7 linked regions of the Nothobranchius furzeri genome follow. The protein of the gene in region 1 purifies or fractionates together with the protein of each later gene. This does not show direct contact. Links are inferred from orthologs where the notes say so. Each region holds a gene or a part of one and is shown in the gene's direction. Other genes may lie near its edges. The genes, in order: rpa2, prpf19, cdk7, cdc45, zufsp, rad52 and hltf.

Region 1 (4,069 bases):
TAAAGGTGCATTATGTAGAAATGAAGTAAAAACAACATCCTGTGGGAGAATTAGTTTACTGCAACCTCTTTAAACAACTGGACCTTTTTGCCGGCTATCGTCAAATTACAACTGTCGGCGCTGCAGTATTAGCTCGCAGGAGACACGGCAACCCCACACTCACTGATGGTAAACAGTAGTTACACCCCTCCTTCCTTATTTGTTTTGAAAGAAGAAAAAACTGACAATCCCCGTAGCTGAGATGTTCTCATTGTAAAATTTTCACTATATTCTTACATACTGCACCTTTAAACCAAAATCAAAAGAGTAGCTCACATTTGATTGATATAAAATGAATAAACTTAAAGTTTCTACAATACTGGCTGCCACAAAAATAAAATTAACATCAGGCCGTGTGGACTAATGACAATGCAAAGTGTATTTATGCACAGGCGACGCTGTAAAAGGGTTTATACTAGTAATGGCACCTCAGGGGCAAATTCCTCCATAGATTATTTTTATGTCTTCTAAATATAAACCAGTTAGTTTCCTGTCGGGAAACTGAAGCCAAATGAACCCACATGTGGTCATAAACAACTCTTAGAGCTTTTATGAATTCCAACATACTTTTAAGTGTTTCATTACAAGAAAAATACAAGTAAAGTTGAGACTGGTGCTGCTTTCTTTTCATACACGGGATCTATTACTGCAACACCTTTTGATTTGCCAGTCAATTGCATTGCTTTGAAATAATTAACAATCAATATCAATAATATTATTATATACATGCAAGACTGTTTATTTAGAACCTGCCCTGTTAACGTTGAAACAGTTTATTTGATTCAATTATTATTTCTTAAAATATAGACGTAAAAATTTTAGGGTCAGTTCATAACTTAAAATTACTTAGTTTGTGCTTTCATTTATTGTAGAAGCACAATAATATTTGTATTTGTCAAAATAAAAAAAAATTGTAAGAAAGATTTTCCGTGTGCATTTTGTCTTTTACGACAGTCATTGAATGCAACTAATGTGCTATGCAACCTGCCTAAAATATTCCCCGTATTTTGACGTCAGGTGGAAAAGCATAAAAAAACAAAAATGTCTTCTTTTAGTTACACACATTATGCTATTTTACGGAAATACATTTTTACAAGGATTATATTAGTTATTATTTTTATAGAAATGAGTCGACAAAACGTTGAAAAAAATTCCTGTGAAACAAAGCTCAGGGCTAAATGTACCTTAGTTGTTACGAGTTCGCGGGACTTATACTGTGCGCATGCGTTGTACATTGAGTTTAGCGCGCGAGTTTACTTAAGGAGAGATACTGCGTAGCTACATTGGGATACTAGGCCGTTTCGGAAGTTTTAAAACATTTGCACACCTTTTTAATACGTTATTTACGCGGTGGCACCATGTGGAATCAGGGTGAGTTGAATGCAGACTCGGTTATTTGTGTTTAAAAATCAGTAAAGGCACGTAGATGTCTGTTTGAGGCTAACGTTAGCAAGACTTTGGCAGTCAACGTTCGCTTACCTCATGAGGTTAACGCTAATGCTATTACACCGAGTTGTGTATGTTACCCAAGTACGTTTTACTTCGAATAATCGCTCCTGTTTACTGTAGTCTAATTGTTTTTTGATCTTTCAGGAGGCTACAGCGAGTCTGGAGTGGACGGGGGATACACTCAGTCTCCTGGAGGATTTGTTGCATCCCAGGGAGGAGAGAAGAAAGGGGTCAGTTGTAGTCTTGTTATAGCCAGATTTTAATCCAAGACAAACCTGACTCACGCCCAAATTGATTAAAAAATAAGTGCTAGGTTACACTTTTTCTCCTACATTCATTTTACAATCCAATGGATCAATATCACATACTCAGATATTTGTAGATTATGCAAGATTAAATGTTGATAGACTAAAAATTGTATGATTTTTTTTCACCAGAGAACGCGTGCCACACAAATCATCCCCTGCACAGTGTCTCAGCTGATGTCCGCCTCACAAGCAGACGAGGCCTTCAAAGTGGGAGATGTGGAGGTTACCCAGGTAAGCTGAACCAAGGCAAAGTGTACATGTGACAGCATTCAGTTAGAAAGAAGTAGAAAGTCCCTACATAATGGTACTGTAATAATAATGAAATAGTGATGGCATAATTTTGTCAGGTTACACTAAAATAAATGTTAAAATGATGAATAGTAGTAATTTGCTTTATCTTTGTGTTATAGGTCACCATTGTGGGCATCATCAGGAGTACAGACAAGTCTATGACCAATATCCAGTACAAGGTTGATGATATGACTTGTGCACCGATGGATGTGAAGCAGTGGGTGGACACTGAGGTGGGTGATTAAACTGTTTAGTGATTTTTTTTTACTAGTTAAGATTGGGTCCATTTCCTAAAGTCCAAGTCCACAAGGTTGACCGATATTGTTTTTCTATTACCGATATGTAGGAGACACTGTAAGCAAATGGTTGATATCTAGATGTTTTCCACCTTACTTTCCTGCTAAAATGTCACAACATCAGTTAATGCACAAATTTTCTGAAGCTGAATCAGTTTGTGAACTCTAAATTTAACTTACTGTTGAATCTTTACTTTGTGCACTCTCATTTTAAAGTCAGACACCTAAATAAAGTTAGTTTAGAATATTTATTATGCAGATGTTATTAGTGAATGTAAAAATACATTCAAAGTAATTTTCTCCAACAGCACCGGGCTGTTCAAATCAGCTTTACTAAGGACAAATATCGGTCAATACCGAAGTATAAACGCTGGTAAATATCGGCCGAACGATTTATCGGTCTACCCCTTCCCCAAAGTTAGGACCAGATTTTTTTGTGAAAACAGAAATTTAATTAAAAATAATTATGTTTTCTCTAACGAGATAGAAGGAGGATTGCTGTACTGATGCTAGTCAGTGACTCGATGCAACCTGCTGTGTTCCTTATATAGGAGCATTTTCACTGATTGGCTTAATGAACTGACCTGTATCGTAATGTTTACTTTGTGAAGTGCCTTGAGACGACTCGTTATTTGGCATTGTATAAATGAACTTAACAAAATTGAATTAATGTTCTTTTTTGTCATATTAAAGAGCAAGTTCACTGAGAAACCATTTTTCCTAATTACGTTTTAAAGGATCGGTCACTCAGAGTTTAACATGCGGGCTTAACGTGAAAACAGTCTCCTACCCCTATTTCCTGCATTTACGTTTGATAGAAAAAATGAAGAAAAACAAAGTTTGGTTCACAAAAGCCTAACAGATCTATGTCACACTGTCACTTAACATTCATGGACTCGCCTATCTCATGACGGGGAAGGCTGTTGTTAGTTAAGCATCCAGGAGAGGACAGAGCGTGTCTCGTTAGCATTAGCAACTCGACAAGATGGCAGAACTCCTTCAGGTTTGTGCTATATGTGGAGATAAAACGCAGAGCAGAGTCAGTGGTAGAGCTGTGTTGCTGTTAGCCAATCAGAGGATAGATGTCCAAATATTAGGAAATAAGACTCCAAATCCTACCTACGTAATAAAACAGGAGCATCTGAGCTTTTTTCCTCAGAGAATGACTTACAAGGCATGGATTCCTACTACAGACCACTGCAAATGTATTAAATATGAGTAAATTTGACTTTTAATATAAAAAGTTTACACAAAGGTGTGATTTTTGAATTATGTTCACCTGTGTGTGCAGGACCCGAGCGTCGACAGCGGCGTGCTGCCTCCAGGAACATATGTCAAAATCTCGGGAAATCTGCGATCTTTTCAGGTGAGTTTAGTTTTACAAACGTCTGTTTTTCCCCTGAAGTAAACAAAAACTGTTTTTAAAACATCAACATTTCTGCTGCTCCAGGCAAGAATAAGATTAGACAAACAAAACTCATTGTTTATGATGATTGTGAAAATGTGAAAATGTTTTCATGACTACAATAAGTACACAGCCATTAATCCCATGGCTGTGTACTTATTGTAGTTCCTCTGTGGAATCATCCTTGAAGAAACTGAAGCTGTTTGTTTCCCGTGTCAGAACCACAGGTCTGTCGTGGCGTTCCGCATCCGGCCCCTAGAGGACATGAATGAAATCACCTC
Region 2 (3,931 bases), on another chromosome or scaffold:
GCTGTTACCTACCTCCAGACCCTCAGGACCAACATGATCTGCACTGTCTTTGCCGGGTGTCTCAAGTGTTCATTGGCCTTCTATGATCCCTAGGTCTGCATAAACGTCAACATAGTTACTCTAAGGTTTGCAAGAGAAAATTATTAAAATGCCACATTATTATAGCATAAACTAAAGTGCATAATCATCCTGTTCATTCCTGACTGCTGCAAAAAATATTATAAATATCTGTCTTGCAGTTAAAGTTATTTTGCAGGTGTAGTGTTATTACCCTCTAGACAATTGTAGAAATGTAACCTATTATAGGGCAACAGCCTGTAAATCTGGGAACATATTATAGCATCACTAATGTAATTCATTATTGACTATCAGAAGGTTGTCTCTAAAACAATAAAATGTATATTTAACACAAACGCCTCATATTATCTATTCTTTGACTATAGAGAAATCTGCTTGAGCATGGGTCTGCATTCTTTACAATCCAAACGGCCGTTTTTCTCTCAGTCCATCCCAATAATTGTTCAGAGCCTCAACTGTTAGAGGACGTTCAGGAAAAACGCCATTTATGATAAAAATCTATGTTGGAGGTTTAACGTAGAGGAAAGTTATCTTCTTTTTTTTTTTTTTTTTTTTGCTCAGATGTCTTGACATTAATGGGAGAATTCTGAGATTAAAGCAAGAAATATTTGTGCCTTCTTCAATAAGGAACTATTAGATTTGCTGTCATTTAAAAATATCCAACATTTGTTTCCATTAGTCAATTTTAAAATGATAAAAAAAATACTTTGGCAAACGTAGAATGGAGATTTTTCTCTGGGATGTTGATATTTGTGGAAAATTATGTCAAATGGTAATTGTAGTTTCATTTTGATGTGGATATTCAATGTAGTTATTCCATAAAACCCGAAAAGCTGCTTTAACCAACAATTTTTAATATGTCTATGTTAAAAATGTGCTTTTTAAAATAATTTTTATCTAAAGAGCCACTTGCACTGCTGGTTGCAGACCCCTGTAAGATTTTCAAGAGTGCAGTGGTGTGTTTTAAGCGGTGGAGGGCAGTGCAGACTGAAATGAGTGCGGTTTGATTGTTGGCGGAAACCAGCGACGAAGAAAAAGGAAGCAGTTCCTTTATAGCGGCAATGAAAGGACAGCGTGCTATCTCCAGTTTGAACTAAATATAAGTGTTCACAAGCGGGGGGAAATTCAAGACGCCAAAAAACACAGTCTACGTTTAGGAGGGCACTGTTAGGACTGCGTTTGGAACATGTCTTTGGTTTGTGCAAGTAAGTGAAGATGAAAATTTGCAGGACGGCGCCTGTGAGTTAGCTCGGTATCATGCTAATGCTACAAGCTAATGAAGCTAACATTAGCGGCCACGCAAACCGTATTTAACTTCAGTTTCCCTCCATTCTCTTTTTTTTCTTTGTTTTTACTGAGTTGTGAGCGTTATGCGCCCTCTCCTTTTGTTTGTTTGTAGTTTGCAACGAGGTGCCGGAGCACCCGTGCATCTCCCCGGTGTCCAATCATGTGTTTGAGCGGAGGCTGATAGAGAAGTACATCGCCGAGAATGGGACGGACCCGATGAACGGACAGCCGCTGTCCGAGGAGCAGCTAGTGGACATCAAAGGTGAACTACACCCTCGATTTGACTTTATTTAAGTTTGATTAACTTGATATTTTTGGACACTACGAATGAATTAATGAGTAAACGACGAGTTTGAAATTCGCATTGTATTAAAGCCTGTTTAACATGATAAACATGAAATGCTGAGTTATTCACACTGAAGTGGTTGTTTGGGACAGATTATTTAACCTAAGGCTAACCGATTATTAATCCAGGCATCAAAAGGGATCAAAATTAAAAATACAGTTTATTATAATAAAGGTAAATAACTAAACTTTTTGTCTTGCGTCGTTTTTAACTGAAATGATCATGGCCATCTGATCTTTCATTTATTTTATTTTTAATTGAGTCGTAATTTTAAAATAATGGTTTTAATTTATTATTAGTAACACTCTGATAAGTCTGGGCCTTTCAATAAACTGTACCAGTTCAATCCAGTTGCACACTGAAATAACATATTTAACTTAAAAAGGTTTGACTGAATTTTTCCTGGTTTGGAAAATGTCTTCCCGCTTAGTGACCCACCCCATCAGACCAAAGGCGCCATCAGCAACAAGCATCCCAGCTATTCTCAAGTCTCTTCAAGATGAGTGGGTGAGTGATGGAAACGGTCAGGAGGACACTCGTCCACCTCACACCTGTGTGTTATTGTTGACTATTTAGAACAGGAATCACCCTTTTATTTTTCACACAACAGCTGCTATTTGAACAAAAATAAATCTGAAAACTCGTCAAACACATAGATCAACATATGACACTTTTACGTAACTTTTGAAGTAATTTTGGGGTTTGTAAGCTCAAGTATTAAAGACATTGCTGTCATTTCTAATAAATTAATTTCAAATCTCAGGAAGAGTTGTTTTTTTTATGCGTCCTACAGGATGCCGTCATGCTTCACAGCTTCACCTTGCGGCAGCAACTGCAGACTACTCGCCAGGAACTCTCTCACGCCCTTTATCAACACGACGCAGCCTGCAGAGTCATCGCTCGACTCAACAAGGAGGTCACGGCTGCAAGAGAAGGTCTGTATGTCCTAAGAAGACACATCTTGGTGTTTCTAAAATGTTAATAGCCACTTGGCGTGTTATTTCAAAGGTTTATTTGTTAAATGGGAACATAAGCACGTTTAAAATGTCCTAAATGTGTTTATTTTGTTTTTGCAGCTCTGGCCACACTTAAACCTCAAGCTGGACTGGTGACCCCTCAGGCCGCCCCCGCCTCTCAGCCTGCTGCAGCAGTGAGTGACCCATGCCTAACTGTTTTAACCCTCAGCTCTTGGTAGTTTTAGTCCTCTTGTATAAAATATTCACATTTGTATTGCAGGGTGCTGGTGGAGAGCCTATGGAGATCAGTGAACAGGTGGGAATGACTCCAGAGATCATCCAGAAGGTAAAACACTTTTTTTATGTCCACAGAATTTTATTATTTTATTATAAGCTCATATTTCATTTTATTTAAACAATTTAATCTGTTTGATCATTCCAGCTGCAAGACAAGGCTACTATTCTCACCACAGAGAGGAAAAAGGTTTGTAGCATTTTTTCCTTGTTATAGTTATAACTTCCAACGGAAGGTAAAGTTTTTATATCTTGTGATTGTGTGTGATTTAAAAAGTTCCTTGTGCTTCTGTAGAGGGGAAAAACTGTTCCAGAGGAGCTGGTTAGAGCCGAGGATCTCAGCAAGTACCGCCAAGTGGCCTCCCACGCTGTAAGTGCAGAACCAGGATGATGAAGATGGTCCTATAAACGACTGAATGTGCTTCATCTGGTGGACTTGTTTCCTGTTTGCTTCAGGGTCTTCACAGCGCCAGTGTGCCTGGTATTCTGTCCCTGGACGTGTGTCCCTCAGACACCAGCAAAGTGCTCACTGGTACTCTGAGCTTAACTCTGTCCTATTTGATTTGGCGTTGTGTCGAATCACCCGCTCGGGGCCGATTTAGTCCAACGCTGACTGTGTTGTCGTCCTCCAGGTGGAGCTGATAAGAGTGTGGTGGTGTTTGACAAGAACGAGGAGCAGATTGTGGCGACTCTTAAAGGCCACACCAAAAAGGTCACCTCTGTCATTTTCCATCCATCTCAGGTGAGTCTTTGTCCGTTGGGGGTCTTTTATTGATAACTGAAGGAACGTGCCAGGTGTGATCCTTCTCTCTGACGTGTTCTCCCCTCTAGTCTATGGTCTTCTCTGCCTCTCCTGATGCCACCATCCGTGTGTGGTCTGTTACCGGGGGCAACTGCATCCAGGTGGTGCGTGCCCACGAAGCCAGCGTCACCGGTCTGTCCCTTCATGCTACTGGAGACTACCTGCTCA
Region 3 (4,082 bases), on another chromosome or scaffold:
GCGTTTATTGGTGTGGTTTAAATTGTTATTGGAAATTAAGAAGCTGACTTACGTTTTATCAGATATTGGCAGAAAAAGTGATATCAAACATCCCTAAAATTTCATCTTTAGACTCTTAGATACCAGCAGACTGTCCAAAAACACAAAGTTTGATTAATTTCCTGTTAAATGTATTGATCTGTTAATTAAATCAGAATTTTAATCCCAACAAGGTGATTCTGGAAAAGCTTGTGGTCCCAACCTGACACGCAGTCAATGATCAACAGTAGGATCATCTACATCTCAGTCAAGACTTTGCTGGATTTGACTCAGTCTTTAAAGACAGGATTGTTTCTGTTTTTGACCTCCACTTGTCCGTTTTCTTAGATATTTAGCACAAACTGCACATTATGCAAGGTCAGATACAAACAATAAGCTGAATTTTTAACAGTTATTCTAAGTATTTGACAGAGCAATAAACAATGGTTCATACAAGACCCATAAGAGTTCTTCTACACCAAAGCCAGCATTTGTGTCCTGAAAAGTTGATGATGTGATGGCAGCAAGGACTGAAGTGTGGCTAGACTGCTCTCTTCTCTGCTGCACAGCCACATACTGTCAGTCACATCTGTGAGCTGTCAGACCATGAATGTGCATACATCTGAGGGGGGTGAGGGGTGTATTAGGCATGCTGATCCTTCACACTCCTCTTGTCAAACTTAACATTAAAATGAAAGTCAGTGGTGAGTGTTCTGAATGTGTGTGTGTGTTGACGGGTGAGAATTTGGGCATTTGAGACAGAAGACAAGTAAGGTCAAAGGAGCCGTGCCTAATCCTGTGGGATGTTATGGTATCTTACAGTGAATGGTGATGGGATGTAGAGATGTGCTCAGTGGTGCATGGATCACAAAAACTTCCTAACTGACAGAACAGGCTCCCAGGAGACCAGTGTCAAAACTGGTGGATGAAAAAAAACAAATGGAAAATGGCAAATTGCCATGAGATTTGTGTTGTCTTTCCTCTAAATCAGAAACATGTATTTCATCCTTTATTTTAAAATAATAAAAGATTAAATAAAGGGTGAAATACATTTTGATTTTTAGTTAGGTGACATTAATTGGGACTGAACAAGTCACAACAATTCCTACATAGTTTGTATTAAATAACTGTTTATATTTTAAATCATTCTGAACGTGTTCTTTCAACCAAAAAATTGCACATCTTTTGACATTAAATTGTTTTAGCCTGACCAGTAGATGGCGCAGTTGCTCAGTTTTAAAGCCTGACACCTTTGCCCCGGAAGAAGTTTTCTGGCCCTTTAACCAGACCAAAAGATAGCTTACTGCTAGCTACCATGGCGCTTGATGTAAAAATCAGAGCGAAACGATACGAGAAACTGGATTTTCTCGGAGAGGGTCAGGTAGGCAGAGAATTATTTCAAAGTTTTCGATATCTACTCTTCGTTTCGCTCACTTTTATTATTTTTGCTTTGTTGTTTAACGTTTTCAGTAACTTGATAACAAGCGTTAGCTGGTAGCTAATGTCAACAAAGCCCCAGCAGCTTCGGTGTGATCACACTAGCTCTAAAAGCATTCAGCGCGTTGTATGCTCTCCTTTAATAACCTTTCTTTCATCTCTTCAGTTTGCCACAGTCTACAAAGCCAGAGACAAACTGACAGACACAATAGTTGCCATCAAAAAGGTACAAAAAAAGTGAAGTTTCTGCTTTAATCGGACACTGTGGTGTTCGGGGTTAAATTTGATTATCTGCTTGTTTTCAGATAAAAGTTGGTCACAAAACTGAAGCTAAAGATGGTAAGTCATAGTCACACCTGTGCCCCACACATACCAAACACTCGTGCTGTATCTTATTGAAAATAAATGTTCTTTTCTTGCAGGTGTAAATCGGACTGCTCTCAGGGAAATCAAACTGCTACAGGAGCTGCATCATCCAAATATCATTGGGGTACTCAAACTATGTTCATGCATTTATGTCCTCTACATTTCCAGTAAAACATCTGGAAAAATCAACCTAATTATTTAATTTGGGTAGATGTGTGTCTGAACGTTTAAGAGGCACTGTGTGTTTGATCAGGCATCTTGGTATTCTCGTGTTATTAATTTGTTTCTTTTAAATGCAGTGTTGGTTATTTACTGTGCTATGTGTTGTAGCTGTTGGATGCATTTGGACATAAATCAAACATCAGCCTGGTGTTTGATTTTATGGAAACAGACCTGGAGGTGAGTTGCCTCCTGTTTTTGATTATATGCACAATTATCCCTCTGATATTATTACTTCTGAATATGATGAAGTTCCGCATTAATATAATAGAACAGTGGTTTCCAACCTAGGGTCTGGGACCCCCCATGGGGGCCTGCTCAGGATTGCTGGAGGTCCCCACAAATGTGTCTGTGCTCAGGTTGTGAGAATACCAAGGTAGTTTTTGTAAGAATTACATTTCTAAAATCCAAATGACACACCCAAATGTATAATCAAATATCTGTATGTCTGTGTAAAGTTTTTAATTAATCATTTTTAATGTGTGGATGCTGGAAGAAGTTGTGGTTGGGGGTTCTGGCTCATCTTGGATACAGGCAAGTGGGTCCCCATGGAAAGAAGGTTGGGAACCACTGTAATAGAACATTCATACAGCTTGTTTTTATATTTGCACTAGATTTTTTTCCCCTGTAATTTAAGTACTATTAAATGGTCTTCACTAAGTCGGGTTAGGGTTAAATTAACTTTAGTTCTGTATATCCAAGTATCATAAGCAATCAGCGTGTAAAATAGCTCTCCCATTTAAGGCTTAATTTTTGGTTGAGGGTTTAAAGAACAAAAAAGTCTTTAAAAATTGATTCAGTTAAACATTCCCCAGGATTTTGGTGAAAAGGTGGTTATGATTGCACTTTTTTATACAAATGAGTAAGTAATGAAAGTGACTTCTTTACAGAATTGTGGTCTAATTTTGATTAAAAAGACAATAATCATGGTATTATAAAATTGTATATACATGTGTTGTGTCGGGTTAAATTCGTTCTTCTTCTTTTTTTTTTTTTTTTTTTTTTTTTTGCATTTGTGGACCACTAGTAATCATTCCCTCAATGACTTTTTAATTTTGGAATTAAATAAAGAACATTTGTGATGTTTAAGGTTTTGTTTAGGGAGAAACGTGTAACATAAGGATGTGTGCTGCAAGATCAAATGTCTTTACAAAAGGAGCAACTAAAATGAAAGTAAAATTATTCTTTCATGCTCCCATTCTCCTTTTTCATTCCGTTTTAACGTGCAAGACTCCAGACGGACGCACACCTCAGACACATTAGACTTTACTGATGCAATAAAAAGACAAAAGTGCTTCCAAATAATCAATATCACTCTCTTCTTGGCTCAAATACATTTATGCCATTAGCAGCTGGCAGGCAGCAGTTAGGGGAGGCATGTGTGAATTATGAGGCTATTCTTTTTCAATAATGTTGTAAACATTTTTAGGTTCAGTCAGTTAATGTTTAAACTATCAGCTACAGATGTTTAGTTTTACGGACATTTTGGGGATTTGTCGAGTAGTTAAAGTGAAGCTGTTTGGTCTGATCTCAGTTCTCTAAAGCTTCCTTGTGTGGGTCAGATAAGCATATTTTTTGTTGTTTTGCTTAGATTTTTTTGTGTGCGTTTTATTTTTTCAGGTTATCATCAAAGACACAAGCCTAGTCTTGACTCCAGCCAATATTAAAGCCTACATCCTCATGACATTACAAGGATTAGAGTACATGCACCAACATTGGGTCCTACATAGGGTACGAGCACCTAAACACCACTCTGTCGTATTCTGCAAATGCACAGAGGTGATTTATTATTTAGAATTATTGCTTCTTTTTTCCTTTATACGTTCAGGATTTGAAGCCCAACAATCTGCTGCTAGACAGTAACGGAGTGTTGAAGTTGGCTGATTTTGGATTGGCCAAAGCTTTTGGAAGCCCCAACAGAATCTACACTCATCAAGTTGTTACCAGGTCAGAGCCGCTGCAGTAATGACAACGATCGTTTTGTTGGCTTTAATCTAATTTTACAAAATAGAATTTCTCACCTCTACACTAAAGATCAAACA
Region 4 (3,500 bases), on another chromosome or scaffold:
TCTAATAAATTTGGGTATGGATGCGGACTTGTTCAACGCTTCCTTTGCTTTTTATCTCTGACATGGTGTGATTCAGCAGCGGTTAAGACTAAGCTCTTATAAAGCCACCTTCCCTATGATGAGTAATTTTAGCAGCAGGAACAGGTGAGCCACATATGGCGCTTTACAAAAATAATTGCATAGAGGTAGTTTTTGATGTGGAAAAAGGAAGAACTGTTGGTAAATCACCAGTTAAATATACATATGTGTACATGAAGAGATATTTAAAACATGTTCACATAAAATTTAGTCAGGATTTTGTCTTTTAGAAAATCAGCAGATGAAGATATGGTTAAAATTCTTATAAATGTTTATTTTAAATTAATAGACTCTTGTGAAGTTGACGTTAACACCCCCAACAAATATAACATAAGGTGTGTTTCCATTACCGAAACTTCAGGGTAAATTTACAGGAACCTCCCAACAAGTCCTCTTCTTCAGTGTCGGAGTTGAACAGCCTCAGAAGAGCTTCGTCACGTACCTTTTCTGTGGTGATGTCGGTGTCGCTGTCCGTGTTGCTGTCATCATCCCCGGGTGAAGCTGGCTTGAATGAGTTCTTCCCGCTGCCGTCTCCAGCGCCGAACCATGGATTCATTCATGCCAAGCTTACGTGCGGCAGCACTGTTTCCCTCCTTTACTGCCACATCGATGGCCTTCAACTTAAATGCGGCATCATATGAACTCATATGTGTAGTTACCATGATGAGGGGGTATGGATTTGAAAAAAAATCTTCGTCATGCCGGCTGCTTGCATGTGCTAAATTAAAATGAGCACTTTCTTCGATTTCCACTTTTGACTTCCACCTGTTTCACTTCCTGCTAAAGCGCCTCCTGGTGGCAGGTGAAGGAAAATCTTCAGTAAAGCCGCACCTCATTATAAGCCGCACGGTTCAAAGCGTGGGAAAAAAGTAGCGGCTTATAGTCCGGAAAATACGGTAATGTGGAATTCGTCTGTATATTTCCATCGTTGTTATGTAAACACATTCATTCATTCAAAATGTTACTTGGTGTCTTTTCAAGAAAGTTCTTATATTTTATTTGCCCCATTTCATCGAAATCGAGAGCTTTTGGGGGTCGCCGTTTATCAGTTGATATCTTTGCTTTTATTTTACATTTCCTCTGGAAATTCAAACATATTTTCTCTGAAAAGTGTTAATTTTTGGACCACAGGACTACAACCGCTAAGACTATAGCCGCTAAGACTGCAGGCGCTAAGACTGCAACCGCAAAGACTGCAACCGCTAAGACTGCAACCGCTAAGACTACAATGACTACAACCGCTAAGACTACAGCCGCTAAGACTGCAACCGCTAAGACTACAACTGCTAAGACTACAACCGCTAAGACTACAACCGCTAAGACTACAACGACTATAACCGCTAAGACTACAACCGCTAAGACTGCAACCGCTAAGACTGCAACCGCTAAGACTACAACTGCTAAGACTACAACCGCTAAGACTACAACCGCTAAGACTACAACGACTACAACCGCTAAGACTACAACCGCTAAGACTGCAATCGCTAAGACTACAACGACTACAACCGCTAAGACTACAACCACTAAGACTGCAACCGCTAAGACTACAACGACTACAACCGCTAAGACTACAACCGCTAAGACTACAACCACTAAGACTGCAACCGCTAAGACTACAACGACTACAACCGCTAAGACTACAACCGCTAAGACTGCAACCGCTCAGACTGCAGCCGCTAAGACTACAACCGCTAAGACTACAACGACTACAACCGCTAAGACTACAACGACTACAACCGCTAAGACTACAGCAAATCAACACCAAAGTCCTCATTGTTGACGTGCTAACGTAACTTTTACAAATGTGGTATCGTAACTTCCGTAAGCCTTACGTTCAGCCAGTCATCTACTGTAGAGGCAGGACCCTGAGCCGATCTGGTACCAACACCGGGCCTTTGGGTCTTCCAGTCAATTTCCCCCTTGTTGCATTTACTCTGCAGTTCTGGTAATGGAAAACCCCTTATAGGGTCGGTTTAACAGATGAGGTATTTAATGATTCATTATCAGATGTCAAGTCAGAGTCTTGTTTGTTTTTTCATCAGAATGAAGGAAATTCGGATCCAGACGTTCGGCGTTCACTTTGGCTTTCAGAACCGTTTCCTGGCTAGCGACATGGTACATGCAACCGCTGCCTTGCTGGAGAGCACGGAGAAAGAAGAGAGCGATATTGCCCACAACTTCATCAAAGCTCTTGATTCCCTTTCAAGGTGCGAAGAAGAAACTGTCAACATCCTAAATTCTTCATGGTCTCGGTAGTATTTAGAAAAAGTTGAGGCCTACTTGATCTGGTTCTTATCCGTAGGGGCAACCTGGATCGTCTCCATGTTGGCATCGATCATGCTAAGAGGAAGCTTCTTGCCATCCAGCAGACCGTGGCCAGCTGCATCTGTACCAACCTCATCCTGTCACAGGGACCCTTCCTCTACTGTTACCTCATGGAGGTAAGTGTCCGCATGTCTCATGACGTCTCTGATCAGCAGCACAGCGTCACGGATAAATCCCCTGATATTTAGGGAACACCTGATGTGAAGCTGTTTTCTAAGCCCCTGGCCCTAACTCTGCTCTGCAAGTACCTGCTGAAGGCTTTTGTCCACTCAGTAAGTATGCATCTGATTAAATATACTGGCAACTCGCCAATATTACCGTAATTTCCGGACTATAGAGCGCACCTCAATATAAGCCGCACCAATAAAAAAAAAAGGTTTTCTACACACACGCCGCACTCGAATACAAGCCGCGGCGCAGCAGCCACATGCAGGTCTCCGGCGCACAGCGCATGTTCGGCCATAACATAAGATAATTAGACAGAAAGACGCTGCACGGAGGTTTTTCGTTGTCGTTTTAATTCAACAAAACGAATTTTAACCACGGGTGAACGTGCCTGCAAGTTTAGAAAAGAAAACAGCGCTGATAGCATTCATACTTCTGGATGTTATAAAATAAAAACAGCACTGACACGTTATTACCGGTAATTTGCATGTTTAGAAGAAAAGAACAGCGCTGACGCAGCATTAATAAGCCCTGGATGATTAGAAAATAAAAACTGCACACAAAACACGCCTGGTTACTAATGATCTGCACAGTGGAAACACCCTGGCCGTCTGCCCTTTGTGTGTTCACCCAGTCTTCAAGAATGTTTTCCAATTCCGGCCATCTGCTTTTATTTCCTCTGAAAGCTTGTGTCGTTTTTTTAAATTTTTTACATCGACTGAGTTCTTCCCGCTGCCGCCTCCAGCGCCGAACCACGCATTCATTCATGCCAAGCTTACGTGCAGCAGCACTGTTTCGGCAGGCGAAGGCAAATCTTCAGTAAAGCCGCACCTCATTATAAGCTGCGTGGGAAAAAAGTAGCGGCTTATAGTCCGGAAAATACGGTAATAACATTCATCTGGGCGCTCTGCATTCTGGTCATTTAGACGAGA
Region 5 (3,965 bases), about 13 Mb from region 1:
TCATCTTTATCTTGTTGCGTCAGAGCTTGTCGGGTGATGCTGACCTTCAGAATGACAGCGAGTCAGGAGAAGAGCGTAAAGTTCTCACCTGCAGAGTCGAGTTCTCATTTTTCTTCAGAAACTCAACAAAGCGAGGAACAACATCAGGAGAGGAAATGACCTCGTCGATGGGTGGGTTGGGCTCTGTGCCAAAGAAACAGAAACAGTGAGGTAAATTGTGCACTAATGGCATAAGAGTGGACCTTTATTCTACAACAACATAACATGTTAAATCTATCTACTGGTTTTATTCCAGTAGATATGGGCCCAGTTTGTGCGTTTTTAAGCAGTCTCCACACTTATGCTGCAGACCTCAGCAGCATCATCTATGGAGCACAGAGAGGAATGGTGGAAATGTGGGATACCAACCTTTTGAGAGTAATTTCCTGAACTTCTGCGTAGCGATTAGCTGCTGATCCGGGTCTTCAGAGAAGATCATCTGAATCATGTCTGGTGTTATGACCACATCCTGAACAAACACAATGTTAGATACAGACCCAGCATGGATGTATGCAGCATTAACGCTCATGTTGTGTCTCCGTTGTTTGATGTGAGCCACGTTAGATCGATGGGATAAATTCATTCCGTTACAGAATTAGGTGGATTTTATTTTCCAGACTTCACTCTGGAAATCTTCATTTGGGGCAAAATTACAAAAATGTGAGTCCTGAACCAACCTGACATGTGGTTGTGGGATGTTTTTATTTGACCAACACTTACGCCTGTGACAGGTACTGTGGAGCTGATGTCGGGATCCTGGATCGGACAGTCCAGCATCGACTCATCAGCTGAAGGTACAGACACGTTCCTCCTTTTGAAGAGCTGTTTCAGATGAATCACATAACTTTGTTACCAAGCTTCTAGCATATCAACAAACCACAAAACACCCTCATCAGCCTCTCTAACATAATCCTGAATGATGCACAGCTCCAAGGTACCATTGGCCAAAGCTAGTTTTAAACATGAAAGCGTAAGTGAGCCAGAGTGTTTACCTGCTCTTCTCTTTTTTGTTTACGCAGCTGAATTCCTTCCTCCTCTCTCCTTCGACGCATTTCCTGAGAATTCAACGCTTTGTTCTTGTAGCTCTTCATCCTATAGTTGTCTTTCTTTGGGCTCGCCATCATGTCTGAAGAGTTCAACACAAGAACAAACTGAGGATGTAAGATTATAATTTTCATGATACAACACTGGATTCATACTTAAAAGCAGTGTATTCATTCTTTCAGAATTTACAGAAAGATTTGCTGCATTTCTTTGATTTGGTGCAATTCAAACTCTGACTGCTAGGTGACAGCAGTTTCTACTTTCTTCATTCTGACCAAACAAGATCTCACCAAACACTGGATGGGTCTTGGAGCGCCTGACCTGAGTTTTCTAACTAAATTCAGCCTTAAAAACAGTAAATGTAAAACTCATCAGTTTTAAATGGATCTGGGACCAGTGTGAGGAACCTGACAGCAAGTGGAGGAAACAGGACGCCATTGTCCAAATCCAAACATCTAGAATTACTGAGATAAAGAAATTGAACCAACTTGAGCTGACTTTTTAGGGGCAACCTAACCTCACTATAACCATAAATAACTTGGGTGACAAGTCTGCTGCCTCCTCAAAGTGGAAACACAAATCTGTTGTCTGACTGCAAAACACGAACCCAAAACCCTCCTCCAGTTCACCTGGTGTGTTAACTGTAAACGCCACTCTAATGGCTGATCCTGGTTCAGAGAAAACCCCAGCTGTCAGTTAATGAACCCACCCTGAAACTGGTGTCCGATCAGCTGGGTTTCAGAGCTAACCAGTGAATCCAGTTCAAATCTGCTGTTTCATGATGGATTCGTTCAATCTGTCCTGACCATCAGACGGACCTAATATAAACGGTTTAATATCAGAAACACAACAGGAAGCTAAACATCTTTATTGTTTAGACGTGACCGTTTCATTTAACTTACAGATCAGCGCCAGACTAGCTAAACGTGTCCCGATGGTTAAAGTAAACATTACACTGAACAAGACCGGAAATTAAACTATTTAAACAGAAAAACCAGTCTGAACTAGTGACACCACCAGACTATAAACACCGCTCCACCGTGTGTGGTGGTTTAGCCTAACTAACAAGCTCCGCTAGCTTCATAGCAAGTTAACAGCTTGCGCTACGTCCCGTGAGAAAGCTGAACTCTGAGACCAAAACTCGCCACCACCCTCCCTCAGTCCCGGTCTCACCAGCGCATAAAGACAAAAACCAGGACAGCTGTTCTCACTCTTCTTAAACCAAAATGGCGTTCTGGTAAACAGTTTCCCAGAAACCCTCTCACGACAACAACAATGACGTCGTTTCCGCCAGCTGTAAAACCGCCCGCCAAACAGTTCTGCGTCAAGCTAGACTAATAATGTTTCTCTGTATAGGGTAAAAAATAAAACCAAACCACCATCCGTTAGTAAGTGAAGCCTTTCCATCTGAAACCTGTCTGCACGCATGCGCATAGGAAAAATGGTTTTAACTCACTTGCTATAGATTTGTGCCTTCATTATAGGACTTAACATCGGGACGCATGAATTGTTTTAGATTTATTTTGAAAATTTGTACGGAACCAGTTCATAGTGTCAAGGCCTTTAAAGCGCAATGACGTAAAGCAAAGCTGTGTTGGAGTCAGTCTCCTTTGGGTTGATGTATTGTTATTAGTAAGTAAATTTTCTGTTTTTATTCGAGACTAACATTCGCTGCTGGATCCTACCCGGTGTGTGTGTGTGTGTGTGTGTGTGTGTGTGTGTGTGTGTGTGTGTGTGTGTGTGTGTGTGTGTGTGTGTGTGTGTGTGTGTGTGTGTGTGTGTGTGTGTGTGTGTGTGTGTGTGTGTGCGTGCGTGTGTGTGTGTGTGTGTGTCAGAAAAACAGCGTTACTAGAACATTCAGCGGAAATTGGACCTGCTTTCAACTGACTTGTTATCTGACTTCAAACTGGAACTTGCAAAATTCAAATTCAAACCGTCATAAAAGCTTCATGTGTTGTTGAACTCTTTCATTCATTTCATGAACCTGACCTGGTCACGTGTTGACAGCTTCTCTCATATCTCAGATTGAGATCAGGTGACGAACAGCAGACTAGCATTCTGATGGTGTTCCAGAAGTATTCTGGTTACATAGGTGGATAAGAGTAGTTATTAAATCCGAAGTTTAGATATTTACCTGATATTTACATGTATATGTTCAGATCCCATTCCTGAATGACTGTTCAGTTTGTGTGCAAGGCTTACCACGTTCAGAGACTGTAAATCAATCTTTTAATCTGGCATTTGCAAGGCTTCTGCTGTATTAGAGCTTAATACTAACCTTTGTCTGCAGGTGGCGGCCATGCTGACCTGTGAAATCTGCGGAGAAGAACTGATGTTGGAGGAGGACATGAAGACGCATCTCCTTCTCAGTCACCTAGAAAATGACATGCACTGTCCACTATGTTCCCTGGCTGGAGTTTCCTTTAACGAACTCAGTTTCCACATATCAACTGCACATCCTGAAGAGCACACAAATGCCACATGCTTTTCAGGTTCCTCCAAAACAAAAAACGTTGCTATAAGTGACAGAAGGATGGCCCAAACATCAAAGTCCTTTGCATCTGGAAACAGCTGTGATTCATCTGGTGAAGCAATAACCAGCAGAGTCCATGCAGACTCAGGACAAACAGGAAAGAATAACTCACCACATGCTGAGAGTTTTTGGTTAAAGGCACGTTTAAAAGAATCGTGTCCTAAACCCTCCACCAGCTGCTGTAAGGAGACCGTCACTGGAAACAAATCTGATCACACCAAAGGTGAGCTGCTGCAGCCGTCCGTATCAGGAAGAGCTACAGTTGGGCAAAAAAGTATTTTTCAGCCATTGTTATGCAAAATGTCCCACTTACAAAAGATGAGAGGTCTGTAATCTACATTAATGTTTC
Region 6 (3,994 bases), on another chromosome or scaffold:
AGTAATTTAAAAACAATCAAATAAAATAATGAATTTTAAAATTCATAATTTTATTTGTGAAACGTTAAGTGACTGAATTAAGCATGGAATAACTGCAGATCATCGCTATGGGGGATCTTTGGCCTGTGCAGATTTGTTTTAGTTTACCAAAACAGCTTGTTTAAGCTCAATGGCGGATATTTTCTTTCAGGATTTTTCTTATAGAGCAGAATTCATAGATCCGTTGAATACAGCTAGTGGCCGTGTTTCTGAAGCTGGAAACCCGTGATAGAATTATCCAGAATGTAAATAAAAATGTTTTAAAAAAATTGTATTACTGGAATTAAAAATGAAACTTTGAAGGGATGCGAAAGTATTTCATATTTTAAAATGTGATGTAACGACAACAGAGACCCAGGAACCGTAAACATACACAAACATTATGGTTCACCATAATAAAAAAGATGTAAAAAAAATACTAAAATAACTAAAATCACATTTTAAAATGTCCAACAGAAATCCAAATTATTGTCTAATCTAGAAACAAAATTAACTTAATTCAGAGCGATACTACTACTACTACTATTACTACTACTACTACTACCTTCTCGGCCTAGTAGAGTGTCTGCCTGGGTCTTTAACCCTCCCGCTGCCCTCACCCTTGCCACATGGGCCCAAGGGATAAACCATCAATCCTGCTCAATGGTCAACTTTCCTCGCAGGGTCACCCATAAAGACAGTGGGAGGGTAAAAAATGGGACCCAGTGCCTCCCTGCTTGACACCCAGCATTAAGGGGTTGGATTGGGGGGGTTTAAACCAATAACAGCATATAACAGCATATATATATATATATATATATATATATATATATATATATATATATATATATATATACACACACATGTGTGTGTGTGTGTGTGTGTGTGTGTGTGTGTGTGAGCAACTCCAGAGTGGTAGAAAGTCCAACCCCTCTCAAGGAAACTGGTTACGGAGCCAGAGCCATGCATTGAGGTGAGTCCGACTATATCTAGTTGGAACCTCTCCACCTCAAAAACCACCTCAGGCTCCTTCTCTACCAGAGAGGTGACATTCCATGTGCCAAGAGCCAGCTTCTGTAACCAAGGATCAGACCGCCAAGGTCCCCGCCCTCGACAACCACCCGTCACACACTGCACCTGACCCCTTTGGCCTCTCCCACGAGTAGTGAGCCCAGGTAAGGGGGACCCACGTTTCCTCTCTGGGCTGTGCCCGGCCAGCTCCATGGGTGAAAACCCGGCCACCAGGCACTCGCCAACGTGTCCCACTTCCAGGCCTGGCTCCAGAGGAGGGCCCCGGTGACCCACGTCCGAGCAAGGTAACACGGTTTCCATTTATGTTATTCATTATATATATATATGGGTTAAACCACCAAATAATGCCGCTTCCCACTGGATGGGTCAAATGCGGAGATCGCCACCACTGTGTGATGACTGTGGGACTTTGAATACTACTATCACTACGTTTCGTTTCTAACTTCAACTTTATTTTGTTACTATTTATGTTGATACATTTTCTCCGGAATCGTTAGGAAAAAATACCTCTCATTCTGTTATTAAAAAGGTAATGGTGTCTCTGCAGAAATGTTGAAGGGTTAATTTTCCGATTGTCAGGAAGGCAGCACGAGGCTCCGCCTCTTCCGGTGAGCCAAGCGGGAAGTTGCTTGTAAATTTAAACTAGCTAACACCTTCGTGCTAATTTGACGTAAACACCACATTTATTGGATTTAAAGCAGTGAGTTTACGTTTACTCGTTTTTTTATTAGCAGCTTTTAGCTAGGTTGAGCTAGTTACGAAGACTAAAGCTTAAACCCAACGAGTCACTTCTATGTTTAAGTAAAGCATTTGTTTTGTTAAATGTTGTTTCAAAAGCCTAGAAGACACTAATGAGTGTTACTGTTTCGTTTTGCTCTATGTGTGTTTCAGTATGTCTGCACAGCTATGACGAGCAGCAACGAGGGATGCATCCCAACGTCATCCAGGCACTTCGGACAGGTAAATAAATCAAACAATTGCAGAACTCGAAACTATTTTAGATGAATTTTCAATCGAATTACACTTAAATTATAATATTAGATTAATAAATAATGAGTGTTTTAATCCCACAGATGCTCAGGTTTTGTCAGATGAATTTGTTTGACTTTTTCAGTGCACCTACACAGCTGAGGAGTACCAGGCGGTGCAAAATGCCCTGCAACAGAAACTTGGACCAGAGTACATCAGTTCCAGAGTGGCTGGAGGGGGACAAAAAGCAAGTGTTTCTTTTACTTTGTGACAAAAACGTGAGACGCCTGGTTTCATTCATGAAGCTTGAGATTCAGAGCTTGAGCAGAAAACATGTCTCAGCACAAAACCCAAGTCTCCTGATGGGATTTGAATTTACTGATCATTAAAAAGGTATTGTAATGATCTAATAGTGTTGTTTTAAACAGGTGTGTTACATTGAAGGCCACCGTGTTGTCAGCCTGGCCAATGAGATGTTTGGATACAATGGATGGTCGCATTCCATTTCCCAGCAGAATGTTGGTACGACTCATCTGCATTTGCAACAAGTGCCTAAAAACTATTACTTGCTGAAAAACAGTCAGAAATAATCATTTGCACATGGATCCTTCAAATATTTTACGTTTTAACGTGTTATAAAAATGACTTCTTTTTTTCTTTTCCAGACTTTGTGGACCTGATCAATGGGAAGTTTAATGTAGGAGTCAGTGCGTTTGTCAAAGTGCAGCTGAAGGTTGACTCACAGTCTCATCAATATTAATCATCAGCTCCAGTTTCCTGTGAGCCTCTACAGGTAATCGAAGTAAAGTGTAACTGGTGTTTTTTCTTTCCTAGGATGGGTCGTTTCATGAGGATGTGGGATACGGAGTGAGTGAGGGGCTGAGGTCCAAAGCTCTGTCCCTAGAAAAGGCGAGAAAGGAAGCTGTCACAGATGGAATGAAGAGAGCACTGAGGTAAAGACCTTTACAGATTTATATTTAGTAACTTTGATTCATGCGAGAAATTTGTGTAACTCTTCAAAAATATTATTTCTCATGTTGAGATGTTTTGGTAATGCCCTTGGAAACTGCATCCTAAATAAAGATTACCTCCTCGCCATAAACAAGATCCCAAAACAGGTCAGTCGGCAATTTAGGTTTTTTGTTAAATTGGATTATTCAAATCCATAAAATTTTCTAAAACTTGACTTCTTCTACACAAAGCCTCCTCCTCCTCCTGACCCGACCCAGACTAAACGGTGCGACGGTCAGCCATCAGTAGAGAAGGCTCGGCTCTTCAGTCTGGTCCAGGAAGATTCACTTTTAAAAGCCGGACCTGCCCGAATGCCACTAGAGCCCAGATTATTCTACCAGAACCATTCAGAAGTTCACACCCCTGGAGCTGCTGGCTTTGCTCCCAGCGGGGTGAATGAGAACATCAAGTAAACATTACAAACGGCTCTCAATCTGCTTCTCTCTTTTACAAGTGGTCATCCACCATAGCTGCTTTTCTCCTCTCCTCTAAGATATGCCGTGAACTCTGTCGATGTCGTCTCTGAAGCACACACGGACCCCAAACAGCTGAGGAAGCTCCGACAGCAGCAGCTTCAGCAGAAGTTCAGGAGAGAGATGGAGGCAAAGAAGCTGCAACAGAAACAGGAAAACTCTGAAGAGGCAGAGGTCGCTGTTAGACGTAAATCCTCCGGAGGTAAAAGTTTCATGTTTAACATTGAACACCAAAAAAAGTGCACTAAACTTTAGTAGTTACAAGACTGATATGGGGCAGGTGGAAGCGATCAAAGGTCCAGGTTAGCCCGGTAGATTATCAACATAGGTTCTTAAAGGGTCCCAGGTTTCGTGGCATTAATTGATGGTGCCATCGAGTGTACATCTGATTTTTTCCAGTTTAACATTTTGCATAACCGTCTGTGATCCAGTGGTGTTGTGATGGAGGGATAGAATCATTCCATTTTTATAAAATCAAGCGTGTGGCTAGT
Region 7 (4,196 bases), on another chromosome or scaffold:
GTTTACAGGAAGTGGACAACAAGCCTTTTGTGTTTCGACTTCTATAAAAGGATATTCTGTGGACGACTTCCTGGAAGGAGTCATGACACACGACCCACTTCCATCTCCTGGTCACAGAAATAAACCAATCACCTAAACCAGATGTGCAAACATGCATTTGCTGCACTGTGTGAGTGCATGCAGAGTCTCTGGATGATTACCTCCTTACTGGATATCAGCAAGTGAACCACAAACACAGGAGGACTTGCAGAATCTGAAGAACCTGGGTACAAAAGCAGCCTGAGGACTCACGCTGAGGTGTTATATTTGTTGCAGCTGCAGGACAAAACTAGCCTAGTGAACTAGACCAAATTCTTGCTTTGCAAAGTTTAAATAATACATTTATTTAGTCTGGCTTGCCAGGCTAGGACAAACCCTCTAGATGGGGAAATCACAGGCACAGATTGTGGTAATGATTTAAAGCTGCAGTTTGAGCCACACACTGCTTCAATGATCATGGGATAATGATGGACATTTTATTTTATGCCAGATATATTTAAAATAACCAATTTAATCAATTCTACGTTTTAGCATACAATTAGATTATTCTTAATGACACATATATTGTGAAACTGTGTTATAAAGGCTATACGAATGTGTAATAGGGTGATTCATTGGACTTAATCTATTACAATGACGCATCCTGTTTACTTCCTATAAGTTAATCACAAAAAGAGTTTAGCTGAGTGAGGTTTTGCATTTCTAAACAAGGTGTTTTGGTTTTGCTTATTTGTTTTCATAAATTGCTTTAAAATAATGGAAACCATGTTAAAGAAGCACGTATGTCTCAATGGGACTGATTATTAATTGACTTTCGCAGAGAAATCAAATGTAAACTCACCAGTAGTAGCTGTCAACCGATAAAGCAGCACCTCAGCTTTGTTTCTGTCTGTCTGTCTCGAGTCCGTTTAACGTCCAGATTTTCTGAGGTTTCAAAAGAAGCACAACGAGTGTAAAAATCGGTGCGGTTTTTAAGCACACACCGCCTCATTTGTGTGTCTCGTTCCTCCCTGGTACTCCCAGTCACGGATGTTCGGTTCGGGAAGGAACCTAGCAGCGAGGAAGCGGAACTTTATTGAAGCGAGAAGTGAGACCCTCACGGCTTCCGTAGCACTGCTCTACGCATCACTTCTGCGCAGCACGCTGCGAAAAGCAAAACGTTTAGGATTTTCGGGATCAAAATGTTAGAAAACTAGAAACAAAGCACGGTTTGTTGCTTTTTTCCAAATTATTTATTTAACAAATTTTTACTGAATATTAATTTTGTTTGTTAAAAAAATGTCAGATGTCAAAATCAAAAGTAGTAGATCTCAAAGATGTCTACTACTTAACCTAGCAATTTTATTTTGAAAATTTTAAACGGAAGTCGCAGATTTACTGGACTGGACTGGTATTGGCTCAGATGAAAATAAGCGAAAACACTCGCGCGGAACTTCTCTCATCAGGGCTGGCAGCAAGAACTTGGCGGTATGTGACCACACTTTGTGGGCGTCACAAAAACATTGTTAAATTTTGATTATTGTTCTTCATGCGCAGGCTGCTTGTTTCTGTAGATTTATTTAAACTCAGATGATTAAGCTAACAGTGCTTCGGCCTGCCAGAGTGGTTGTTTTGCGTGGCAAAATGATAAAAGTGGCGGTTATTGATGTGTTTATTTTAATTTATGGACACAGGTATGTCTTTTCGCCGGTGGGGGTTCGGTTGGGGGCCGTTCGATGATGTGGACCTCTTCTCAGAGCCCTCAGAGACCCAGACAGATACTCTGTCCCAGATCATCAGAGCTGCTAGAGCCGAGGAACCAGATGCAGATGGATGCGTGCTGTTTGGGAACCTGAAGGGGACTGTGGTCGGGCTCAGATATTACACTGGGGTGGTGAGTAACCAATCAGTCACTATACTGATTATTATGAAATTAAATTATTACTATGAATATTTACTGAGCTTTCATTATTTTGAGTTTGTGTACCAGCCCTGTGATTTTAGGTTGAATTTCTGGACTAACTTTTGGTTTATAAACTCAGTTATAAACAAGTTGGAGATTAACCCCCCCCCCTTCTCACCCACTGATTCCTGCTGGTCAGGACCTTGGTGATCCGTCTTCGCCAGCTACAAAAGCTCATCTTCTGCCACTGTGCTAAACATGGAGCTAAATTCCTAAAAACCAATGGTGATTTCATCACCCATTGAACTGTTGGGTCTGCATGCAGAACCAAATGTACAGCAACATCTTACTACATTTACTGGGGTTACTACATTTCTTGAGTCCAGGATTTTGGAAGACTGAGATGATCGTGGAGTTCAAGCAGGACCACTGTAGACAGTTGATTAGCATAGTGATTCAGGGTGGACAAAGTCCTCTCCAGCTGCACTGCAGGGGTTCAGCTGCTTGAATCACCTGTTGATATTTACTAGATTCAGAGAGGATTGCAGGGAGAGGAGACAACGGAGCCATTGTTGCTGAGGTGTGAAGAGAGTGTCTCCATCTGGTACTCTGCAGTTGAAAGGGGACTGTCTGTGGGTGGAATGGGATAATGAGAAAGAAGAAGAAGAAAATATCATTTCTATAGCGCCTCTCATGTTAAAAATTGCGAGGCGCTTCACAAAAACAAAAAAATATAAAAAGGCATTTAGAAAATGTTGAAAAATATATTAAAATGAGCAAAAATAGGCAATTGTGATTAAAAAATGTTAAGAAAGAGAACTTTCAGGTTTCAGACACGTTAAGAAAGAGATAGTGTGAAAAGGAAAGAGGGAAATCAGTGGATCCTGAGGAAGGCGGAATAGGTGGGGAGAGCAGAATAAGGAGAGAGTGGTGAAAAAGGTCTTACAAAAGCCTGCTTGAACAGGTGAGTCTTCAGCTGCTATTTATTTATTTAAATTTTTTTGTAATTTGTAATCTGTAATTTGAATTGCTTTTATTTTCAGATTTATTCACTTTATTTGACTTTGTACTGTACAGTGTTCAGCGCCTTGGGCTTCCTGACAGGGATGCGGAAGGCGCTTTATAAATAAAGCTTTGATTGATTGATTGATTTTAAAGGAGACCACTGAGTCCACTGATCTCAGGCTCAGGGAGAGAGGTCCAGAGTCTGGGGGCCACAGCAGCAAATGATCTGACACCTTTGGTCTTTAGCCTGGTGCGTTGCACGATCACTGGACCTCAGGGACCTGCTGGGGGTGTAGGGACTAAGAAGGTCACCAATGTAAAGCCGGGTGTACACTGTGCGACTTTTTCACTTTTTTGAGCCGATTTTCCAGTCGTGCGAGAATCCACGAGATCGGGACGAGTTTTGCGCCGAGCGTCGTGTAGTGTACAGGGGGTTACGAGAGGCGATTAACACCACGTGACCAGCTACCGATCAGCAGTCGTGAGGTCGCATGGACTTCTGGCGTGTTTAATATTTCGCTCGTCCCTCGTGAGGGTATCGCACTGTTGAAGCGGCGCTGCGAGCAGCTGCGACCCAAAATGTATCAGAACCGCTCACGGCGCATGCGCAATCCTGCATCAACACCGCTCGCTCGCTATTTCCCTAATAACACACGTTGTTTGTTTTTATTTCTACACGTTTTTTTTTACTCACAAAGATTGTCAAGAAAGCGTGTTTGTCGTGTTCATGTCAAATTAAACTGATCACAAAACACAGATTTACTTTCTTTATTTCGTTTTCCTCATCCAACCCCCATAAATCCCTGTGTGTCCTCCTGCAGCACTCCCGAAGGACAACAGGCAAAACAAGACCAAAAAGTCTGACGTGCTGAGTAAAAACTGCTATTTTTAGCATACTTTTAGGGCAGATGTGTTGCTACCAGACGTACAGTGTGAGCAGTCAGATTGCGTCCGAGAACTGGGTCGTGCAGTGTGAGCGCATGACTCGTGAGATCTGCTCTGGGAGGAAGTCGTACAGTTTGAGCTGAAGCTGAGTGCTACGAGTGAAAAAGTCGCACAGTGTACGCCCGGCTTAAGATGGTGCTTGTCCATGTAAGGCCCTATAGACCAGAACCAGGATCTTGAAATGAACCCTGAAGTTGACTGGCAGCCAGTGAAGCTGGAGGAGAAACGGGGTGATGTGGGTGTGTTTGGAGGACTTGGTCAGAAGCCGAGCACAGGCGTTCTGAACCACCTTTAGACGGTTCAGGGAGGTTCTGCTCAGACACGT

Evidence for each region.
Region 2: the proteins of rpa2 (region 1) and prpf19 purify together in Homo sapiens (affinity purification with western blotting; 4 studies listed by BioGRID, with this or other methods). This does not show direct contact. The link is inferred for Nothobranchius furzeri from reciprocal best matches to the Homo sapiens genes RPA2 and PRPF19.
Region 3: the proteins of rpa2 (region 1) and cdk7 purify together in Homo sapiens (affinity purification with mass spectrometry; 3 studies listed by BioGRID and IntAct, with this or other methods). This does not show direct contact. The link is inferred for Nothobranchius furzeri from reciprocal best matches to the Homo sapiens genes RPA2 and CDK7.
Region 4: the proteins of rpa2 (region 1) and cdc45 purify together in Homo sapiens (affinity purification with western blotting; 3 studies listed by BioGRID and IntAct, with this or other methods). This does not show direct contact. The link is inferred for Nothobranchius furzeri from reciprocal best matches to the Homo sapiens genes RPA2 and CDC45.
Region 5: the proteins of rpa2 (region 1) and zufsp purify together in Homo sapiens (affinity purification with western blotting; 3 studies listed by BioGRID, with this or other methods). This does not show direct contact. The link is inferred for Nothobranchius furzeri from reciprocal best matches to the Homo sapiens genes RPA2 and ZUP1.
Region 6: the proteins of rpa2 (region 1) and rad52 purify together in Homo sapiens (affinity purification with western blotting; 3 studies listed by BioGRID and IntAct, with this or other methods). This does not show direct contact. The link is inferred for Nothobranchius furzeri from reciprocal best matches to the Homo sapiens genes RPA2 and RAD52.
Region 7: the proteins of rpa2 (region 1) and hltf purify together in Homo sapiens (affinity purification with mass spectrometry, with the first as the bait; 3 studies listed by BioGRID). This does not show direct contact. The link is inferred for Nothobranchius furzeri from reciprocal best matches to the Homo sapiens genes RPA2 and HLTF.

Annotation. Positions count from the first base shown.
Region 1 is NC_091745.1:71,983,799-71,987,867, forward strand, and holds the start of rpa2 (replication protein A 32 kDa subunit), read left to right. Parts: upstream 1-1,269; 5' UTR 1,270-1,397; coding exon 1,398-1,410; intron 1,411-1,632; coding exon 1,633-1,718; intron 1,719-1,925; coding exon 1,926-2,027; intron 2,028-2,206; coding exon 2,207-2,320; intron 2,321-3,674; coding exon 3,675-3,749; intron 3,750-4,007; coding exon 4,008-4,069. UniProt on the Homo sapiens protein: As part of the heterotrimeric replication protein A complex (RPA/RP-A), binds and stabilizes single-stranded DNA intermediates that form during DNA replication or upon DNA stress.
Region 2 is NC_091741.1:94,861,653-94,865,583, reverse strand, and holds the start of prpf19 (pre-mRNA-processing factor 19), read left to right. Parts: upstream 1-1,131; 5' UTR 1,132-1,264; coding exon 1,265-1,283; intron 1,284-1,477; coding exon 1,478-1,627; intron 1,628-2,141; coding exon 2,142-2,218; intron 2,219-2,504; coding exon 2,505-2,646; intron 2,647-2,787; coding exon 2,788-2,861; intron 2,862-2,947; coding exon 2,948-3,013; intron 3,014-3,109; coding exon 3,110-3,151; intron 3,152-3,256; coding exon 3,257-3,331; intron 3,332-3,417; coding exon 3,418-3,493; intron 3,494-3,593; coding exon 3,594-3,703; intron 3,704-3,792; coding exon 3,793-3,931. UniProt on the Homo sapiens protein: Ubiquitin-protein ligase which is a core component of several complexes mainly involved pre-mRNA splicing and DNA repair. Required for pre-mRNA splicing as component of the spliceosome.
Region 3 is NC_091757.1:44,652,888-44,656,969, reverse strand, and holds the start of cdk7 (cyclin-dependent kinase 7), read left to right. Parts: upstream 1-1,282; 5' UTR 1,283-1,333; coding exon 1,334-1,399; intron 1,400-1,621; coding exon 1,622-1,681; intron 1,682-1,760; coding exon 1,761-1,794; intron 1,795-1,877; coding exon 1,878-1,945; intron 1,946-2,151; coding exon 2,152-2,220; intron 2,221-3,660; coding exon 3,661-3,771; intron 3,772-3,868; coding exon 3,869-3,987; intron 3,988-4,082. UniProt on the Homo sapiens protein: Serine/threonine kinase involved in cell cycle control and in RNA polymerase II-mediated RNA transcription. Cyclin-dependent kinases (CDKs) are activated by the binding to a cyclin and mediate the progression through the cell cycle.
Region 4 is NC_091757.1:55,446,234-55,449,733, forward strand, and holds part of cdc45 (cell division control protein 45 homolog), read left to right. Parts: coding exon 1-14; intron 15-2,120; coding exon 2,121-2,285; intron 2,286-2,380; coding exon 2,381-2,519; intron 2,520-2,591; coding exon 2,592-2,675; intron 2,676-3,494; coding exon 3,495-3,500. UniProt on the Homo sapiens protein: Required for initiation of chromosomal DNA replication. Core component of CDC45-MCM-GINS (CMG) helicase, the molecular machine that unwinds template DNA during replication, and around which the replisome is built.
Region 5 is NC_091745.1:58,608,992-58,612,956, reverse strand, and holds the start of zufsp (zinc finger-containing ubiquitin peptidase 1), read left to right. Parts: upstream 1-1,165; 5' UTR 1,166-1,198; intron 1,199-1,792; exon of another isoform or gene 1,793-1,905; intron 1,906-1,985; coding exon of another isoform or gene 1,986-2,034; exon of another isoform or gene 2,035-2,238; intron 2,239-2,256; exon of another isoform or gene 2,257-2,471; intron 2,472-2,610; exon of another isoform or gene 2,611-2,715; intron 2,716-3,280; exon of another isoform or gene 3,281-3,299; intron 3,300-3,373; 5' UTR 3,374-3,382; coding exon 3,383-3,839; intron 3,840-3,965. Other genes in the region: kpna5 (importin subunit alpha-6), read right to left, coding at 89-183, 409-508, 760-861, 1,032-1,165, 1,986-2,034. UniProt on the Homo sapiens protein: Deubiquitinase with endodeubiquitinase activity that specifically interacts with and cleaves 'Lys-63'-linked long polyubiquitin chains. Shows only weak activity against 'Lys-11' and 'Lys-48'-linked chains.
Region 6 is NC_091744.1:73,170,775-73,174,768, reverse strand, and holds the start of rad52 (DNA repair protein RAD52 homolog), read left to right. Parts: upstream 1-1,194; 5' UTR 1,195-1,334; intron 1,335-1,628; exon of another isoform or gene 1,629-1,851; intron 1,852-1,941; 5' UTR 1,942-1,956; coding exon 1,957-2,010; intron 2,011-2,164; coding exon 2,165-2,266; intron 2,267-2,447; coding exon 2,448-2,541; intron 2,542-2,684; coding exon 2,685-2,752; intron 2,753-2,853; coding exon 2,854-2,972; intron 2,973-3,061; coding exon 3,062-3,137; intron 3,138-3,221; coding exon 3,222-3,439; intron 3,440-3,523; coding exon 3,524-3,705; intron 3,706-3,994. UniProt on the Homo sapiens protein: Involved in double-stranded break repair. Plays a central role in genetic recombination and DNA repair by promoting the annealing of complementary single-stranded DNA and by stimulation of the RAD51 recombinase.
Region 7 is NC_091758.1:23,582,358-23,586,553, reverse strand, and holds the start of hltf (helicase-like transcription factor), read left to right. Parts: upstream 1-1,396; 5' UTR 1,397-1,506; intron 1,507-1,712; 5' UTR 1,713-1,714; coding exon 1,715-1,912; intron 1,913-4,196. UniProt on the Homo sapiens protein: Has both helicase and E3 ubiquitin ligase activities. Possesses intrinsic ATP-dependent nucleosome-remodeling activity; This activity may be required for transcriptional activation or repression of specific target promoters.